Oryctolagus cuniculus: one gene and its partners. The protein of the gene in region 2 purifies or fractionates together with the protein of the main gene of each other region. This does not show direct contact. Links are inferred from orthologs where the notes say so. Each region holds a gene or a part of one and is shown on either strand. Other genes may lie near its edges.

Region 1 (6,358 bases), on a different chromosome or scaffold from region 2:
TTGTGAGGTGAAGAAATGAGAACATCTTAAAATCGGAGTCAAATAGACACCTGGAAAATGAAAGTTAACTTCCTGTGAAGGAAACAACATGGTGACAGGTAAAAAAATAAGTAAAAATTTTCTCTCTGGTAACATTTTTTTAAAAAAAGAATATGAACTGGGACTGGTGCAGTGGCGTATCGGGTAAAGTCGCCGCATGCAGTTCAAGCCCCGGCTGCTCCACTTCCGATCCAGCTCTCTGCTATGGCCTGGGAAAGCAGTGGAAGATGGCCCAAGTCCTTGGGCCCCTGCACCCATGTGGGAGGCCCGGAAGAAGCTCCTGGCTTCTGATAGGCGCAGCTCTGGCCACTGTGGTCATCTGGGGAGTGAACCAGCAGATGGAAGACTCATTCTTTCTCTCTCTGCTTCTGCCTGTCTGTAACTCTTCCTCTCAAATAAATAAATACATCTTTTAAAAAAATATGTATTCATTTATTTGAAAGGCAGGGAGCTGGATCAGAAGTGCAGCCGCCAGGACTGGAACCTGTGCTCCTGAGATTCCAGTGTCGCGGGTGGCAGCTTCACCTGCTGTGCCACAACACTGGCTCCTCCAGCAACTTAAATTTACCTGGTAGAGGGTTAGCCAAGGTGGGGAACTTTCTTCCTTCCTTTCCTCCCTCCCTCCCTCCTTCCTTTTTTCTTCTTTCTTTTTCTTTCTGCCTCTCTCTCTCTCTCTCTCTCTCTCTCTCTCTCTCTCTCTCTCTCTCTCTCTTTCTACCAAGGACCTTATAACATCAGTAGTGGTCTCTTTCTTTTTACCAAGGACCATTTGATACTTATAACATCAGTAGTGGGACATACAAAGTTATCAACTTAAAAATTAGCCTTCCATAGATTTATGGAATTTCTAGTGCTGCCTATGGTTGCCAGAACAAATGATTCTGTGGGCCTTATACGACCTGAGGGCTGGATGTTTCCCACCCTTGGAAGACTTAAAAATATACACTGATTAAAAAGAACTCTCCAGGGAGTTGCAATAAATGCTGGATTGAAGCCCTTAACAAGAATGAGCCAGAACTGATGACATGTGCTTTCTGTAAGTCAGAGAAGGAACCGGACGAGACTCCAGAAAACAGAAGGCCGCCCTTGGCCTTTTGGTGCCCAGTGTTAAAATGTCAGCAACGGGGCAGTCAGCAGGACTTAGCATCGCCTCTGAAGCTAAGGAACCACGGCTTCAGAGAAGTGGGCGGGGGACACCTTTTGGAAGGTGCTGCCTTCAGGAGAGGAATGGCCAGAGGACACGTGGCACTGCTGTTGGGTTCATCGGGGTCTCGGGCTAATAACCGCTGCGCTCTACGGACACCTGGCCAGCAGCTCGCTAGGGACTGGGGCTGTTTAAGAGAGCCCGGTATTTCCTGCTTGTCTTCTCTAACTAGGTGAGGTCAGGGGTGCGGGCGCTCCACCCGCCGTGTGGCCGTGGGAAACTAATGGAGTTAAGGGCAGCCTGGACTCGGCCGCCGCTGGCACTCGAGGCTCCGAGGCTCGTGCCGGCTCTCCTCCGCCTTTCTCCCCGGCCCCTCGGCAGGAGCTTCGCCCCACACTGCCTCTTCTCGTCCGGGCGCCCCCTCCGTGTGGGAGCCACAGCCCGGGCCATTCCGCCACCCGGGCACAGGGGACTCGCAGAGGCGAATACTTCGCCAACATCGTTTTAAATAAAGTTTTTGCCATCAAAAAAGGGAGGGGGCGGGATGGAAGGAGGCCTACTTAATCGCCAAGCGGTTGGCCAACGCGTGAAGGGGCGAAGCAGGAAGACCGCGAGACTCATCGGTGATTGGTCAGGCTAGAAGCCTGTCTGGACTGTACCACACTTACTTGGAGGGGGGGTTGGCAAATTCGAGAGACGAGCTGCTTGCTTGTGAGTACTTCCAGCACACACGCATAATTCTTTTTTATTTCCGAGGGTTTCCGTTAGGATACAACAGGGACAGAAAACAAGGCGCAGGAAACGGAGGGAGTCTCCCGGCCATTTCCTCATTCTCGACTCCCGCACAGTATGCCGACCCTGCTCGCCTAGTCGTCAGCGGAACCCGACGCCCTTGCGCGCGCGTTCTCGTCTTCTTGCGTGCGTACGGCGCTGTGCTCCTACAGCCAATCAGACGGCGAGGTCGCCGCGGTCGCCGCGGTTCGCGCGCACGCCCCAGAGGGGAGACGGGGTGGGGGCTGTGGGTGAATGGGAGAGTGAGCAGGGGCGGGCGCGACGGCGTGAGCCGCATGAATGAGAGAAACGTGCCCAGCGCGAGACGTCGCGCGCGCCCGGGCCAGGGAGCCAATGGGAACGCTGGGAGGGCTCGAGACCCGGCACTGAGCGCAACGGCCGCGCGCCGGCTCGCTGACGAGCGTCGCCAGGCGGGAGCGCGCGGGAGCGGGGCGGGCGTGGAGCGTGCGGGGGCCGCGCGCTGCCTCTCAGAGGCCGGACGGCACTGCCGGGAGGCGGCGGTGACAACGACGGCGGCGGTGACGGGCGCCGCTCCGGGGGTGAGTACCGGGGACGCCGGCCCCTGCGGAACCGGAAGTGCCGGGCCAGTGAGGTGGGAGGGGAGAGTGACCTCTAGGGAAGGGGGACCGGAGCGGGGGAGGGGGTTAAGGCCCCGGCCCTGCTCCAGGCCGGGTCATCCAGCCGCGGCAGGGACCCGTGGGCCCCTGAAACGGCCGACGAGTCGAGGCTGGGATCCAGGGCCGCCGGGGCTCGGGACCGGGTAGTGCCGGGCCGCCGGGCTCCGGACTGCGGTCTTCGGAGCCTGGCACCCAGCCGCCGCCCCTTCCGCCCCCGGCCCTCCGCCGCTCGCTCCCCCAGCCTCGGTGGGCCCCGCCGCCGCGGATTCCGCCCTCTGGGGCTCCGTGGACGTTACCTGTGCCCGGGGACGGGTTCGGTGCCGTTCCCCCTTTGACCGTGCGTTTCGAGTTCTCCACTCGAGCTTCGTCCTGTAACCTGTGCTTTTCCACCCTCCAACCCCACCGGCCGAGGGCTCCGTGCTGCCAGTACTTTGTACTTTTTGCCAGTGGAGCCCGAACGTGTTCGCCGGTGTTTTTACCTGTAGGGATCTCTTTGTGGGGCGGGGGGTGAGGGTGTCTCACCCCCTTGACCGATTGAAAACACGGCCGCGAGAAGGAAGAAAGTGGCTCAAAGTTACTGACTCCAGATCGTTTTTTTGCCCTGCGTTTTTCACTTCCTGGTTAATGCCATCTTGCCCAGGTTGATTTCACGTTTGCATTCCCACCTTTTATCCCGATTAGCCCTTCAGTCCTGTGTCGGATTTCTAAGGAGGGCTCGCTATAGGCCATTCCAGAGAACCCGTCAAGTGTTTACAAGAATTGTATTGCCATGTACTTTGCTACCTTGATATATAGTGATAAAATCCACATTAAACTTTTGACTCTTTTTTTTCCCCCCGATATCTCAACATGGATTATTCCATGGCACTTCAATGGCTGTGTTTTTAGCTTTTCCTGTATTGTGCTGTTACACCACCTTGTTTCAGCAAGCAATGTCTGTGTTGCCAGGGATACTGTTCGGATCCCTTAACCCCTTTAAGGAGGTATTTGTGTTCAATCTTATTAAAGCTCTCAAAGTACGTGTCCTATAGTATTCGTTTTATATGTGCATATTTTCATTCCATAGTTGACCGTGTGCCTGAATATGTCGCATATGCCCTTGTATATTTTTTGATACTGATGTGGATCCACGCTGTTGCCACTGTTGAACGACATTTACCCTTCCAATCTCATCCCTGCCATCTGCAGTAGATCCTTCTGCTAAGACTTAGTATGTCTCTCTACATACCCAGGAAATTTTTAGGTTTCATCCTGCCCCTTCTTTTAAAATATTTATTTATTTGAAAAGCAGAGACAGACGCAGAGACAAACCTTGCATCTGCTGGTTCACTTCCCAAATGCTTGCAGCAGTCCAGGTTAGGCTTGGCTGAGGCCAGGAGTCCTGAATTCAGTCCAGGTCTCCCATGTGGGTGACAAAGCCCAGTCCTTAAGCCATCACCTGCTGCCTCCCAGAGTGTGCATTAGCAGGAAGCTGGGTTGGAAGGAGAGGAGGCCAGTGTGGGATGCAGGTGTCCCAGGCAGCATCTTAACAGCTGTGGTAAATGCCCGCCCCTGAAGCCCTGTTTTTAAGGACAGAAATGATGAATCTTGAAGGAAGGTGCCTTTGCTTTCCATGCCACAGGTGAGAACGAAAATGATGAATTCAAGGTACATTTGTATTTTTATTATCCAAATTTTCTGATACTTTCAATCTCTACCTCTGGCATTAAGAAATACCAGACTGCTTGAGGAGAATAAAATTGCTTTGTTTTTAAGTTCTAACTTCAGTAAATTTTGTGGTGTACAGATTTCAAGTTGTCGTCATTGGGCAGTTAGTATAGTGGATAAACAAGAGGTAGAAAGGGTTTGTCAGCAAAGGGGCATGTGAACTCTTGGCTTCTGAACCTGGCTGCCCAAGTGATTCAGTGGAGTGCCCTCAGGCATTCTCTAGCCTTCAATTTTACAGAGTGGGATAAGGGACTGTGTCACCAGATAATGTGAGTAAAGTGCTTTGAGATCACTAGATGAAAAGCATCCTATAAAGTCAGGGTGCTGATGTTATTTTGTTACTATCATCAACAGAAGTAATTGTTACTTTTAATCATATTGGGGTAGGTGGGGCTCACTTTACTTCCTAATAGGCCAATGTAGGAATGAAAAACTTTTGAATTGGAAAGAAAGGGACTAACCTTTATGGTAGCTTCAGCTTCTCATAGATGGGATCTCATCTATTTGATGCAAGGTCCTTAGTGGGTGATCCCAGAAGACCAACAATTCAACTTCTGCCTCCTCAGTATCATAACTACAAGGCACAGAGGGATAAGGGAGAGACATACACAAAAAGGAAATGAGACTTGCTGTCCTAATATGAGTTGGGTTTTTCATTTTTCGTTGTAGCAATACTGTGTCCAAAGAGAAACCTCTGTTTTAGGCCCTCCCTTTACAGTTGTACCCTTGTTTTTAGTTTTTGACTTTTTTTTTTTAAGATTTATTTATTTATTTGAAAGAGTTACACAGAGAAGGAGAGGCAGAGAGAGAGAGAGAGAGTTCTTCCATCCGCTGATTCACTCCCTAATTGGCCGCAGCGGTCAGAGCTATGCCAATCCGAAGCCAGAAGCTTCTTTCAGGTCTTCCCCGTGGATGCAGGGGCCCAAGGACATGGGCCATCTTTTATTGCTTTCCCAGGCCATAGCAGAGAGCTGGATTGGAAGTGGAACAGCTGGGACTCAAACTGGTGCCCATATGGGATGCTGGCACTGCAGGCAGCAGCTTTACTCGCCACACCACAGCACCGGCCCTTTGACTGTTCTATATTTATTGCTGCTTGTTTGTGTCAGAGGAGATGGGTCCCTTACAAGAACTAGTTCTTTGATGACCTTAGACCAAGTAAAACCATGTTCTCCTTGTTCTGATCTCAACAGCACTTAGAATTCTGAGTAGAGGATTTTAAATCCTTTTTTTCCTCCCCATTCCGAGTCCTTTCCCACATACATATAAGAGAAGTGGAAAATAATCTTTCTTTCAAAACACATTTTTTTAACAGAGTAGCCTGTGGAACTTTTAGCCTTGTTCTTAAGAAATGCCCTGAAAGGATTTTTTGATAGAGGTATTTGTTTTTCTCCAGGTGAGGCACTGTAACCCCGTTGAACTCTGTGTCCGGAAAGCCCAGGATTGAAGAAGACAGACCAGACACATTGACCTGGAAGCAGGGACATCTGTGGAACTTCGCTTTCATCCTGAGTTCTTTTTTAAAGTATCACGTGGAATTGATTTGTTCATCTTATTCTGCTTATTGGGAAGAAATGGCTTCAAGGATTTTAAGTTTTCCTTCAGTTTTGCATGAACTCTGTAGGAAACGGAGCCCTTGAAGGGCTTGGGATTAACAAGAGATTGAAGACAGACAAGCTTGCTCTCTCGCTGTTTTCTCTCTTCTTCAAAGAAAAGTATTTACAACTCAACTCGTAACAGCTGTAGTCCAGCATTAGCCATCAAGAGAGAAATAAATAAAATTAACCCACCATTGCCACAGACTACAAACCCTGGTGAAGTCAAGGTGTGGGAGTGGTGGCATTGAGAAGACTGCTTAAAACGGACAAGGACTACAGTTAAAACAGCTTCTCTTTCAAGCTGGAAGGGGCCACAGGTTCCTTCTTGGATAAAAACACACAGTGCACACCTCTTTTAGGTGCTGCTCACATTTTGTGGAAGTGTAGTACTCGTGGAGGTACTATAGTATCTCCTCAGGAATTTTTCTTTGCTCAGAATTTTCTGCCCTGCCTTGATATTT
Region 2 (6,289 bases):
TCACAGTGTATGGTCAGCCTTAAGCTACTAAATCCCCTGGGCCAGAAGCAGTGGTGACCAGTCCTGCCCTTTGGGTAGAAAGCCAGGAAGAGTCCAGGAGCCAGCGGCATGCAAAGCTTCATGAGCTGTCAAGTGGAGGCACCGGGCCTGTTTCCAACCTCCCAGAATACATCTGAGCTGTGGGCAAAGCTGGGTGGGGGAGACGGGGGCGAGCGAGGGTGCGTCCCTCACGGTCCCCCATCCTGGGAGGCGGCCTGAGGAGGGCGCTCAGGACACAGGTGCTGCTGGCACGGTCACGTGCCCCTCGTTAGCGCGGTCAGGTTTCCTGCTTTGACTCTAAGCATATCTGCCTTGCCTGGCTCATTCCGATCTGGTAAGAACGTCCTTTGAGATACACTTTCTTACATAGGAGTCAAAACCATGGGCTCCAACCCGGAAACACCTTATTTCTTTCAGATTAGAATTACTGTTAAGACCAGAAAGAGGGGCTAGCGGTGTGGCTTGGTAGGCTAAGCCTTGCCTGCAACGCTGGCATCCTATACAGGTGCTGGTTCATGTCCTGGCTGCTCCTCTTCTGATCCAGCTCTCTGCTATGGCCTGGGAAAGCAGCAGAAGACGGCCCAAGTCCCTGGGCCCCTGCACCCATGCGGGAGACCCGGAGAAAACTCCTGGCTCCTGGCTTTGGGTCTGCCCAGCTCCAGCCGTTGTGGCCATTTGGGGAGTGAACCAGCAGATGGAAGACCCGTCTCTCTCTCTCTCTCTCTCCATCTGTAACTCTACCTCTCAAATAAATCATAAATTTTTTTTAAAAAGAAGAGACTAGAAAAAAGGAGAGGTAAGCAGAAGCTTCTGGAAAGCTATGAGAAAAGAGAGGGAGCTGAAAGCACGGAGGCAGCAGGTGCGGCATCAGAAGCTGGAGGCGCGGGAAGCCCGGGGCCATGTGCCAACGTGGGCCAGGGAGCCCTGTGAGTCCCGAAGCCAAGAGCAATCCGGCGCGCCTTTCCACGTGCGGTGTGTCCGTGGCACCGCGGGTCTGACGGTGCCGGTCAACCAGACACAGAGGGCAGGGTCACCTGCCTCAGCCACAGCGCACGCACGGCCGTCTCCCCGGGCTACGGGTGACAGAGACCTCTGCCTGCTGCCAGAAGTGACAATTAAGCTTCCGGTAAAGAACTCTTCCGGCGGGAGAGCCCGAGCACAAAGGCCTGGGTTCTCGGGCAGAGGCGAAAGTGAACTTGAGAACAACGCCTGGCCCTCGCTCCCTCCTGGAAGGACACACGGATGCTCTCACGCCAGACATCTGTGCGTCAGCCTCTCCCACTACTGAAAGGCAGGGCTGCCATGTCCTCCCACAGGGCGACTCAGCCCCCGTGGGGGAGCAACCCGCAACATTTCCAGGGCAAGTTAGAGAGAAACAAGGCAAGCAAGCCAGGAAAAATTAAACCTGTAATTTACATGTAATCTCAACAGACACACACGCAAAAGTGGTTAAAACACAAGCTAGTGTGTTTTATCCTAAAGATGTAACAAGGAAAAAAAAGAGCACTCAAAGGCACTGCCGAGCGCTGTAGTACTCAGCACGTCAGCTCTGGGCCAAGAGAAGTCCACGCAGTAGGAGGGCTCCAGGATCTAGAAACGTCCACTTCCCACACCCATCGGGCAGCATGCTAACTGCATCGCACTGCCGTATTTAGACCGCAAGGGCGAGGCTGCCCCCCACAGGCACGCACCCGCACAATGGGCACACACACAGACAGGCACATGGGCACACGCAACTGCAGACATGCACACACACACATAGACACACGCACGTGCAGACATGCACACACACATGCCCACACGGACACACATGTGCAGATACCCAGACACAGGCCCGTGCAGACATGCACACATACATGCCCACACGGACACACATGTGCAGATATCCAGACACAGGCCCGTGCAGACATGCACACATACATGCCCACACGGACACACACGTGCAGACATGCACACAGACACAGGCACGTGCAGACACACATACATACACACACATGCAGACACACACGTACAGATATCCAGACAAGGCACGTGCAGACATGCACAATACATGCACACGCAAACACACATGTGGACACACACGTGCAGACATGCACACATACATGCACACGCAGACACACATGCAGATATGCACACTACACACAGACACATGCCCACATACACGTGCAGATATCCACAGACACACGCACGTGCAGACATGCACACTACACGCAGACACACACGCGCAGATATCCACACACATACGCAGACACACGCAGTGCAGATATGCACACATACACACACGCGGACACAGGCCCACGCAGACACACACGTGCAGATATCCAAACACACACACATGCAGGCACACACACACGCTCACACACATGCATGTGCACCCAACCACACGCACCCACACCCATACATCTGGCTCAACTAGGAAGCAAAAGTTTGACTCCAAAACCTACAAACAAAGGAATCTTGTAACATCCAAAGGACTGTGGTGGAGAAAGCAGAGTTTACATTCTGATTTGAAAGTTCATGAATCTCAGAGTCTCCCCGAGGAGGCTTGAACAGAAAACATTTATTTCACACTAAGAAATCCATGCCGACCGTGTGGCCCGAGCGGTCCAACAGCGGCGCTCAGCAGCCCCGGCCACGAGGCCACTTGCTCAGCTTCTACCTCTTCACCCGGCCGTGCTGCCCACACACCTGAGTGGCATTTCACAGGTTCGCTATACCCCTACCTTGAACGGGCACGCTTGGGCTTCTAATCCACCCACGACCCTGCCCGGTGGTATAACCAAGCTGGGGAAAAACCACAGTGGCGGATTTCCGGTCCCGGGCGAGCAGGTGCACCTACGCCCTCAGCTAGAGACCTCAGGCCCAGGTCTGAGCGTTACTGCCCGAATCACGCCAGTGTCACCTCTCAGGCCCTCAGCCTCCCAGCCAAAGGATCAGCAGCCGCCAAACTCGCTCCCGGCCAACCAGCCAACTAGAGTCTCCCTGGCCGCGTCACCCACCGGGGGCCACGCTGCCCCCCACCCCGTTAGGACCCGCTGCACCTGTCACAACCACGACACGGCGCTTTGCCTTTTCTAGGTCTGGCTACACAGCAGACAGCCAGCCCCGCTTCCCACTTCTGCAAAGCCAGCACTACCCAGGCCCCAGCCGGCGACTCCCAGCGACGCCCCCATTTCGGGTTGCAGCACTTGGGAAACCCCCGACGGCCCCTGCAGCGGCCGGAAGCGCCGGTCACGAGGAAGCCGGGGATTCCTCCGTGCGTGGGCAGGCAGCAGGACGCGGCCCACACCTGCCCAGCCAGGTTCAGCGCCCTGGTCAACAACAACGCGGGGTGGGGCCGTGAGGCCGTCGCCCCGGGGCTCCGCCGCACCGCTCCTCTCCCCAAACACGGGTCCCCGCCCGGCCCCCGGCGTCCGCCGCCGCCCCCGCCCCCGCCCCGGGGCCGCGCCCTCGCCGCGCGGCAGGTGCAGGGAGCCCGGCTGCGTACCCGGTTCTCCAGCTCCGCGGGGAACTTGGTCTGGAACTGGCAGCGGGTGCCGCTGCTGTAGTCTCGCTGAATGAACACCTTCCCGGACACCGGCGCCTGCTGCGGCCTCATGGCGAGGGCTGGACCGGCCGCGCTGTGGGGTCACGGGGAGGGGAGGGGGCACCACGGGTCAGACGCCCGGGCGGGACCCCGGGCTCTGGCCCGCCAAGCCCTCGGGCCCACCCGCCGCCCAACGCAGCCCCAGGCCGCTCCCGCCCCGCTCCCCAGCACCCATGCTGAGCCCCCGCCCCGGTACGGCCTCCGCGCCCCCCACAGCCCGGTTCGGCCCGGGAAGCACCAACCCGCCTCCTCTGCCCTCCAGCTGCTGTCGCGCCGCCGTCACCGTCACTTACGTCCTGCCGCAAAAGGCCTCCGGCCCCGCCCCTCAGCTAGGCCTTCTCCTCAAGCCGCTGGCCCGCCCCGCCCTCCGACCGTAAAGCAGGCCGCTGGCTGCCGTGCGGGGCGTACTGGGGGGCGTGTCCCGGCAGGCCCCGCCCTCGGCCGGGCGGAAGGAAGTCCGGGCGGAAGCTGGCCTGTAGGGTGGCATTCCTGTCGGTGTCGGTGGAGGCCAGGGCGTTCCTGCTAGTTGCTCCTAAGGGCTTGTTTTCGTTCTGAGTCGCCTACGTGTGAGTCGCATCTCGCGACTCGAGTACAAAACAAAAACGCAGCGAACAAAACCCAAAGAGCTCTGCCCCCAAAATAATAATAATAATAACCCAGACAGAAACCCAACTGCTCGCCCATATCTGGAAATAGAAAGCGGACCGCCGGGCACCCACTGGCCCCTCGGGGAACTCCTGGAGACTTGGACCGTGGTCCGGTGTCCGGCCTCGGCCTCCGCCTCCGCCCTCGGTGTCCTGGCTGCTGCCAGCGACGACGGTCCCAGACCGCCCTGCCCGGGCCTGTGCCTCCTGACCAACAGAGTAACAGCCCCGCTGTCTGATCCTACCTTGTGCATATTGAAATTTTTATCATTTCTAATTTTTTTTTTTAACTTGAGAGCCATCCGCTGGTTTGCTGCTCAAATGGGGCCAAAGCCAGTAGCTGGGAACTGTATCAGCCTCCCACGTGGGTGGCAGGGGCCCCAGCACTTGAGTCATCACCTGCTGCCTGTAGTTAGTTGGAAGTCAAGACGGGGATTGAACCCAGGTACGTCCACGTGAGACATAGGGTTGCATCCACCAGGCTAAGTGTACGTCCCACTTACTGTGTTTTACTAGTTTTGTTTGGGCACAGTGACAGAGAGATGGGGAGGCAGAGATACTCCAAAAGCTGGTTCATTTAACAAATGGCTTCAACAGCTGGGCCGGGGCCGGGCTGAAGCCAGGAGCCTGGAACTCCATCCAAGTCTCCCACGTGGGTGCAGGGGCCTGAACACTCCGGAGTCTTCTGCTGCTTTCCCAGGCGCGTTAGCAGGGAGCTGGATGGGAAGTGGAGCAGCCTGGGGCTGGGACCGGCGCTTGGTTGTTGCAAGTTGTGGCTTAACCCGCTGCTGCAACAGTGTCGGCCCCCTGTGTCTTAAAAGCAGCTTTAATAAGGTCTAAACGGCAAACGACACTCGGCTGCCGAGAAAGTGGACAATTGGCTGGGTTCTGACCATCAGAGCCAAGATGTGAGTTCACCTTCCTCAGAGATTCCTGTGCGCCTCTGTAGCCCACCCCCACTTCCGGCCTAGTGCGTCATTCACTCCTGCTTTTTGTTCAGTGGGAATCGCGGGCGGTGGGTAGTGTTGTGTCATTGTCCAGCCCCCTCCCTAAGTGCACTCCATGTCTATCTCCTGGGAAAATCTGGATGGGGGAGGGACAGAGAAGAAGTGCTTGTTCCTTGTCACAGTTCAGAACAGAAGTCCCTCTTTGGCCACAGGTGTCATCCTGGGGACATGAGATTTTTTTTTTTTTTTGACAGGCAGAGTGGACAGTGAGAGAGACAGAGAGAAAGGTCTTCCTTTTGCCGTTAGTTCACCCTCCAATGGCCGCCGCACCGCGCTGATCCGATGGCAGGAGCCAGGTGCTTCTCCTGGTCTCCCATGGGGTGCAGGGCCCAAGCACTTGGGCCATCCTCCACTGCACTCCCTGGCCACAGCAGAGAGCTGGCCTGGAAGAGGGGCAACTGGGACAGAATCCAGCACCCTGACCGGGACTAGAACCCGGTGTGCCGGCGCCGCAAGGTGGAGGATTAGCCTAGTGAGCCGCGGCGCCAGCGGGACATGAGATTTGACGTGGCCGAAGGTGGTGCATCTGTGCCTGGAGGAACCAGGTGCTCTCTTGGGAGCACCAAGAGATCTGGTGAGTTGGCAGAAGCCTGGGACTTGGGACGAGGGGCTGTGCAAGGCGAAGGCCTTTGGCTGGGCTTGCAGGTTTCTGCGTGGTGGGAAGGGTAATGCAGCACCTGCTACAAGCCAGTGGTGCCCGGAGACCTGCAGGCCAAGCTCTAGAGGGCCCCAGAACAAGAGTCCACATCCCCCCCTACAGGGCAGAGTGACGTGCAGACTTCCCTGGAACTCAGAGCCCCCAGGAGAAGCTCATTGAACCGAAGACCCAACCCCCCAACCCGGCTGAAGAAAGTACCTGGGTTAGAAGAGAAGCTTTTTTTTTTTTTTTTTTTTTTTTTTTTGAATGGGTAAGTTCAAGTTCAAGGAGTTCTTGGCTCCCAGTAAGAATCAAGAGAATGAAGTTTCTTTCCTCACCTGTCACCTGTCATCTCTCAGAAGCCACCCCTGGATTT
Region 3 (6,247 bases), on a different chromosome or scaffold from region 2:
ATGAGTCCATCAATCTTCTGGAAGTTTGGATTCCACTACGCAATTATATCAACTGCCTCCCTCAAGTTCAACTCATGGAAATTTGGTAGGTATCTACCTTCTAAAATAAGTTGCTGTTATTAGAACAGAACTGTCACTGGATTTTTTTTTTTTTTTTTTTTGCAAACTTACGTGATTTATTTGTAAGCAAGAGAGAGATTTTCCATCTGCTGGTTCACTCCCCAAATGGCCCCAACAGCCGGGGTTGGGCTAAGCTAAAGCCAGGAGCCTATAACTCCATTCAACTCTCCGACCTGGGTGGCAGGGTCCCAAGGACTGGCCATCATTCATTGCTTTTCCAGGCACATTAACAGCAGGAAGCTCTTTGGGCAGTGGAGCAGCCAGGACTTCAACAGCGCTCATAGGAGATGCTGGCAAAGCAGGCCATAGCCACACGTGCTATACCACAATGCCAGCTCCTGGGATCTTATTTCAATATGACACTACTACCTCATCTTGTTCCAAAAGCAGAGTTAAATACAATACAAAATTATTTCCTTTCTCCCTCAATCGTCCTACTGAGATCAAAATACTCACAGGTCCGAAGTAGATCAATTCCACTATTGTGGTTTCCGGGATCAACAAATTTCTCCATGAACTGTTCATTTAGTGTGAAACTTACGCATTTTGTAACCACGTCAAATGACTCTGGAAAAAAACAATGACTGTTTGTAGTTTCCATTACAAACATTTAACAATAATCTCTTTTAGTAATTATTCTCTGAAATAAAAGGTGCTGTAAAAAAATATCACCATGAATTTCTTTGGTTCCAACCTGAAACAGGTCTTATCAAAGCCCAATGGATGCCACTGGTTCTGAGGATACATGCATGAGGAAGAAATAAAAGGAGTAAAATATCATCAAATAGCAATATAAGAAGAGCAGGAAGAAGGGGAGAGTACAAAGATTGAAATAATAGAAACTTTATCCTCTTCCCCCCACAACTAGTGAAGTCATGGCTCCCATTTCAGCAAAAAATTTCACCCATCCAGCTCCTCAGACAAGAAACTTTCCAGCCATTCTTGTCCATATAAACACCATCTGGAAATACTAGAAGTTCTTCTTTCAAAATATATCCACAATCCAGCTGTTGCTCACTATTACAACGGACTGAGTCACAATCACCTCTCATATGAATGACAGCATTAGCATCCTAATGAGTGCCCTAGCTTTCATCCTTGCCTGCTGCCCGCCTGTTCTCACTATATCATCCAGGGCAACCAGATCACGTCTTTCCACTCCTCTAAGTGTTCCTGCTCTAAAGGCTTTCCTATGTAGTCAAGAGTAAAAACTCACCTCCACATCATAGCTAGAGTACTGTATGATGTGCCCTACTCCTACCTAAGGGTTCATCTTTGACAGCATACCCAACTCTCCCCCACTCCTTCCATGGCAGCCCAGTAGGTTCTTTGGTGGTCCTTGAATACTTTAACCATGCTCCTGCCACAGTCTCTGTAGCCCTTGTTCCTTCCAACCTTAATGATCACCACCAGCCTCTGCCCTGCTGCCACGAACTACCCATATAGTTAACACCCTTATTTGGTCTTTACCTATACCAAGTCTTTATCATTTTATCAATGAAATCTATTCTAATTATCCTATGGAAAATCATAACCTATGCTTACAATATTCCTTTCCTGTATTTCCAAATCTTTTGCTTCATTCTTCCATGTTAAATGTCGTCATCTCACACACTGTATAATTATTTTGTTTATACTGTTACACTCCTTTATTCTGTTTATTGCCTGCCACCCTTAGCATTCTAATAAATGACAGCTCCCCACAACTAAGGATTTGTTCTCCAAGCTATAAAGCCCTGGAACACAGGGGCAGGCAGTAAATACTCAGTGAATAAATGACTTAACAACTAGTAGGATTCCAGTATCAAGTGCTCCAGGCCCTCCTAAACACAAGTGAACATTTTACAGTGAATTGTGACCAACTTTTCCACCTTTCCTTCACATGATTTCCTTTTCTTCATATATAATGATATACTATCACTTTTGATATATGGCAATTCAAACCTGTTCTGCTATGATTGAAAGATAAAGCTCCTCCGCTAAGCGACCAACCCAAGTAGTCATAAGTAAATTGTAAAGTTGTCCCTTACAAAGTGCTCTAAAGATCTGAATGGAGAACTAAAGCAGTAGCATGGCAATGCATAGAAGTTGGGGTGAAGAGGTGGTAGGGAGAGAAGAGACATAAGAAGACGTAAGATGCCCACAAATCTGCTTATATATAATTCAGCAATCATAGATCACTTTATGCTACTAAACAAGTACATTAGAGAGAAGTGAAAATAAGAGGAATACCTGTCCTTTCTGGCGGACTGTACCAATGTGTGTTTTTGGGTACGGTGATACACCGTCTCCACAATCCCATTGTGCCGTTGTATCGGAAAAGTGCATCGTTGTAAGTCTTTTCATCTGCCTCATCACTAATGAAGTCTTCCCAGATGCTTTTATTCCAATCACTTGAATTCTCTTGAACTGGACTTCGATACTCATACCAAAAGTCTGTGCCAATTGAGGCTGCCATGTAGATGGTGGAAATGAGGCTAAGCACACAAGCAATTACAAATGCTGTAGCAAAACGGTTATCCATTCTGGCATTCAGACTGCTCTGTTTAAAAGTTGAAGAAAGAAGATGTCAGACTTTACAAATAAGAAAGATTGTTTTGAAAGGAATTATCTCAGAATCACCCTTGAAACTACTCCCCATGCCTTGGTTTAGAGTAATAATATATTTTTAAATTAAAAAAAAAAAAAAGCAAGCACATTTTTAAGTGTAAGAACAAAACTCATTCCCATGAAAGTACTTATTGAATGCTCACATACCCAGGATGCTACGGAGACAGAGGTCTTGTTCTCTAGTCTATCACCTGCATACTAAAACAGACAACACTGAAATGGACATACACATTACAGATACAAACAGACATGCCCATGGTCAGCAGTGTACCGTGCACACATTTTTAAGTATAGACCGAATTTTTACACAAGCTGGAGAGCATTAAGGCGTTCTGGGTTTGAGCGTGAGAAAGGCACAGGAAAAGGAAGCAGTGAAAATCGGATTCTCCCAGTTTTCCTCTGAAGAGGGAAGCCTCCCAAAACAAGGGCAGGAGTCAGGAGCTATTTGAAAGAGTTGACAATGTTTGTTAAGTCGAGGGAAAGGTTGTCCTAGGTGTACGGAATAACAAGAAAACAATAACATGTAATAATGCTAGATATCCATCTCCCCATCTATCAAAGATAAGACAAGCTGCTTTATGCTGTGGAAATGTTTCACTCCTGTCTATTCTCTCCATTCCTAACACATCTGCGCCTCCTCACCTGCTACCTTGCTCTCTCTCTTAATCCTAAGGTGGAACATACCTTCCTAAAAACTAAGTGATCCCTCCTCAGACAGAAAGAAAACTCCGAATCAAGGCAAAATACATACACTCCCAAGACGTGGACAGGGCTCCACGGCAGTAGTAAATGGCCGCAGTAAAATGACTCAAGGCGGATCACGCTGAGTCAAATACTGCAAGTGTACACCGTGACCGCACCAAACACCTTAGGAAGGTGCAGGAAAACAGGCTCGCAAACTGGGGTTGCTGAGTTGGGAAGATGGGAAGTGACTCAGGAGAGATCAAAGTAATGACGATAATTAACGATAATTCAAGAAGTTGGGTTCATATTTTGATTTTTTTTTTTAAATCCCCTTTCATGCTGGGGCTCTCAAATGACCTCAGAAGGTCCCTACACAGGAGCGGCGGCTCCAGCGAGGCCAACGCCAGCTACGGCCTCCCGAGGCTGGGGCGGGGCAGCCCTGCGCCGCCCCCCGGCCAGGGGCCTCAGGTCCCCAACCAGGCCCCTGCCCAGACCGCTTGGCCCCCAGGAAATCCCCCTGCCGCTCAGAAGGCGCCCAGCTCCGGCGGCCGCCGCACACAGGAAAAGGGGCCCTCTGCAAACCACCGGGAAGCCGAACGGCTACGCGACCCCCGCCCGGCGACGCCAGCCCTACTCACTCACCGCCCATGCTCTTGCTCCAACAGCTTCACCCTCTAGCTCAGACCACAGCACCCTACTCTCCCCGCGCCTCCTCTGACGCACTTCCCTGCAGAACCCGCCCCCTCCATAACTCCCGCGCCTCCGCCTCCGCCTCCGCCTCCATCCCGGGCCTGGCCGCAGCCCGGGACCGAGGGGGCTTGTGGGAGTTGTAGGAGGGACAGAGGGAAAACTGCCAGAGAAGCCCGTTGGCATTCCTGGGGCCGCGCGCGATGTATTGTGGGGGATGTAGTCCAGCTCTGGAAGTCCAAGCGAACGCGGTCTTCTATCTTAAGGTCCAAAAAGTGAGACGGCCTGTATTCTGTCCTCGTTCTTTGTAATTGTGACCGAAATAGCTCATCCCTTTCTTTCAGTCCTGTGCTCTATCACGCCACCCTACTTCCAAATATAAAGGTAAATGAACAGCAATGCGATTCTAGTTTTCAAATGTTAATCCATTTTTTCCTCTCCCACAATCTCCCATTGGAGCGTTGAGTCTTTCTGACTTTATTACTTAAGTTTAGAATAAAAAGCATGTGATCCACCGAATGGTAAACATGTAGAATGTAATGACTTTATTCGGCTTCATAAATAATATCCCTTGGCTTCATAAAATTTATGTTTGTTGCTATCTTTTCTTTGTGACAAGGGATACTATTTGTCTATTGCAATGATGCAAGGTTTCCTTTTAGAATAAATTTCAGTTAATTAAAAAGAAGACTTAGGATATGAATATCTCAAAAAATGCGGATAAAAATTTGTTGCTAGTGTGCACCCTTGAGTGGCAGCAGGTGGTTGCTGACTCAAGTGGTTAGGTCCCTGCCACCCACCTGGGGGACCTGGATTGTGCTCCTAGCTCCCAGCTTTTGAGAAAGGACCAACAGATGGGAATCCCACCGCCTTTTCCTCCCTCTTCCTTCCTCTCTTTCATCCTCTCTGTGTCTCAAATAACTGAGTAAATTAAATTTGTTTTTTTAAAATTTGTGAATACAATATGAAAAAGTTTAGGAGATACTACCTAAAAGAGATAAGGTCTTGGACCACACTGGAGACCACAGTTGTGTGGCACAGAAGCAACAGAATGATTCTAAGCCCTCACATGTTGCACAGAAATTCTTTTCCAGGAAGTAGGAACACCTGGACAGCAACATATGGGGACCCTTGAACATTGCATGGGACCGGTGAAGGATGAATTTCCAACAGACACCTACAGAGACAGTTGACTCGAGGACCAGAGGAGCCCTGGAACTCCCCCAAATCCCCAGTGCCTATCAAATTTAGCCACTGCATACAGGAAAGGTGGAAGCCCCAGAGTTGGTATCAAATTCCTTCCATTCTGACAGAGTCACCTCAGTTGGTGAGTTGATATTCAGATCTAGTACACAAATAAAGTAAGGTAATATTATAACATTCAAATTTAATTCTCGATTTTAATGCAAAACAGAATTTTGTCTGAGCCATCAGAGAAAGTAGTGGAGGTACACAAGAAAATTACTAACGTGCTAGTAAGGTTCAGGAATGCACTCACAGATTAGGAAATATCTTCAACCCTTGGCCTGCATTAGAAATCCCCCACTTTCAGGTCCCATAGGGGTCATATGGTCAATAAAACCAGATAAAAAGGGAAGTTTGAAAAAAAGTAAAGAAACAACCTGGTTCACAGAGGAACTGAGACACAGGGAGAGTAACTGACTTGGGAAACTTCAATATTGGGATGAGTGTCCTAACTTTTGTGACCGCACACTTTACTTAACCTTTACATCTTAATTGTCTTTTTCCCAAGCCATGGATGTTGAACAGTAGAATCTATCCCATGAGATCATTTGTGAGCTGCAGATTAGAAAATACATGTAATTGCCCAGCACAGGACCTAGGGTTTAGGAAAGAATCATTGGATTATCAGTCTTTGCAAATATTTGTTGACTGAAGTCAGTGTAATTAGCTTTTGCAAGGCTCCTGTTTCCCCTGGGGGCTGGAAATAAGTCATTTACAGAGCTGGTTAGCTGTCCTCCCTTAGCTCTACTCAGGAGATTCCCAGGCCTGGACTCCATCGTACACAAGTGATCATGACTCAGAAGGTGATGTGTCTGGGAGATCTGAAAAGCAGGAGGATGCTTTCAACCTTTCAAGTGTGCTAAATGCCCAGGAAACACTCAGGACATGTTTCACTCACTGA

The links.
Region 1: the proteins of GOLGA7 (region 2) and ZDHHC5 purify together in Homo sapiens (co-immunoprecipitation; 3 studies listed by BioGRID and IntAct, with this or other methods). This does not show direct contact. The link is inferred for Oryctolagus cuniculus from reciprocal best matches to the Homo sapiens genes GOLGA7 and ZDHHC5.
Region 3: the proteins of GOLGA7 (region 2) and CLDND1 purify together in Homo sapiens (affinity purification with mass spectrometry; 3 studies listed by BioGRID and IntAct, counting the BioPlex papers as one, with this or other methods). This does not show direct contact. The link is inferred for Oryctolagus cuniculus from reciprocal best matches to the Homo sapiens genes GOLGA7 and CLDND1.

What each region holds. Positions count from the first base shown.
Region 1 is NC_091432.1:14,476,439-14,482,796, reverse strand, and holds the start of ZDHHC5 (palmitoyltransferase ZDHHC5), read left to right. Parts: upstream 1-2,172; 5' UTR 2,173-2,514; intron 2,515-2,888; exon of another isoform or gene 2,889-3,195; intron 3,196-5,695; 5' UTR 5,696-6,358. UniProt on the Homo sapiens protein: Palmitoyltransferase that catalyzes the addition of palmitate onto various protein substrates such as CTNND2, CD36, GSDMD, NLRP3, NOD1, NOD2, STAT3 and S1PR1 thus plays a role in various biological processes including cell adhesion, inflammation, fatty acid uptake, bacterial sensing or cardiac functions.
Region 2 is NC_091433.1:91,857,693-91,863,981, reverse strand, and holds the start of GOLGA7 (golgin subfamily A member 7), read right to left. Parts: upstream 3,943-6,289; 5' UTR 3,868-3,942; intron 3,786-3,867; exon of another isoform or gene 3,660-3,785; 5' UTR 3,638-3,659; coding exon 3,527-3,637; intron 1-3,526. UniProt on the Homo sapiens protein: May be involved in protein transport from Golgi to cell surface. The ZDHHC9-GOLGA7 complex is a palmitoyltransferase specific for HRAS and NRAS.
Region 3 is NC_091435.1:52,939,104-52,945,350, forward strand, and holds the start of CLDND1 (claudin domain-containing protein 1), read right to left. Parts: upstream 4,219-6,247; 5' UTR 4,064-4,218; coding exon 4,057-4,063; intron 2,922-4,056; coding exon 2,878-2,921; intron 2,663-2,877; coding exon 2,353-2,662; intron 688-2,352; coding exon 577-687; intron 1-576. UniProt on the Homo sapiens protein: Plays a role in negatively regulating the permeability of cells to small molecules.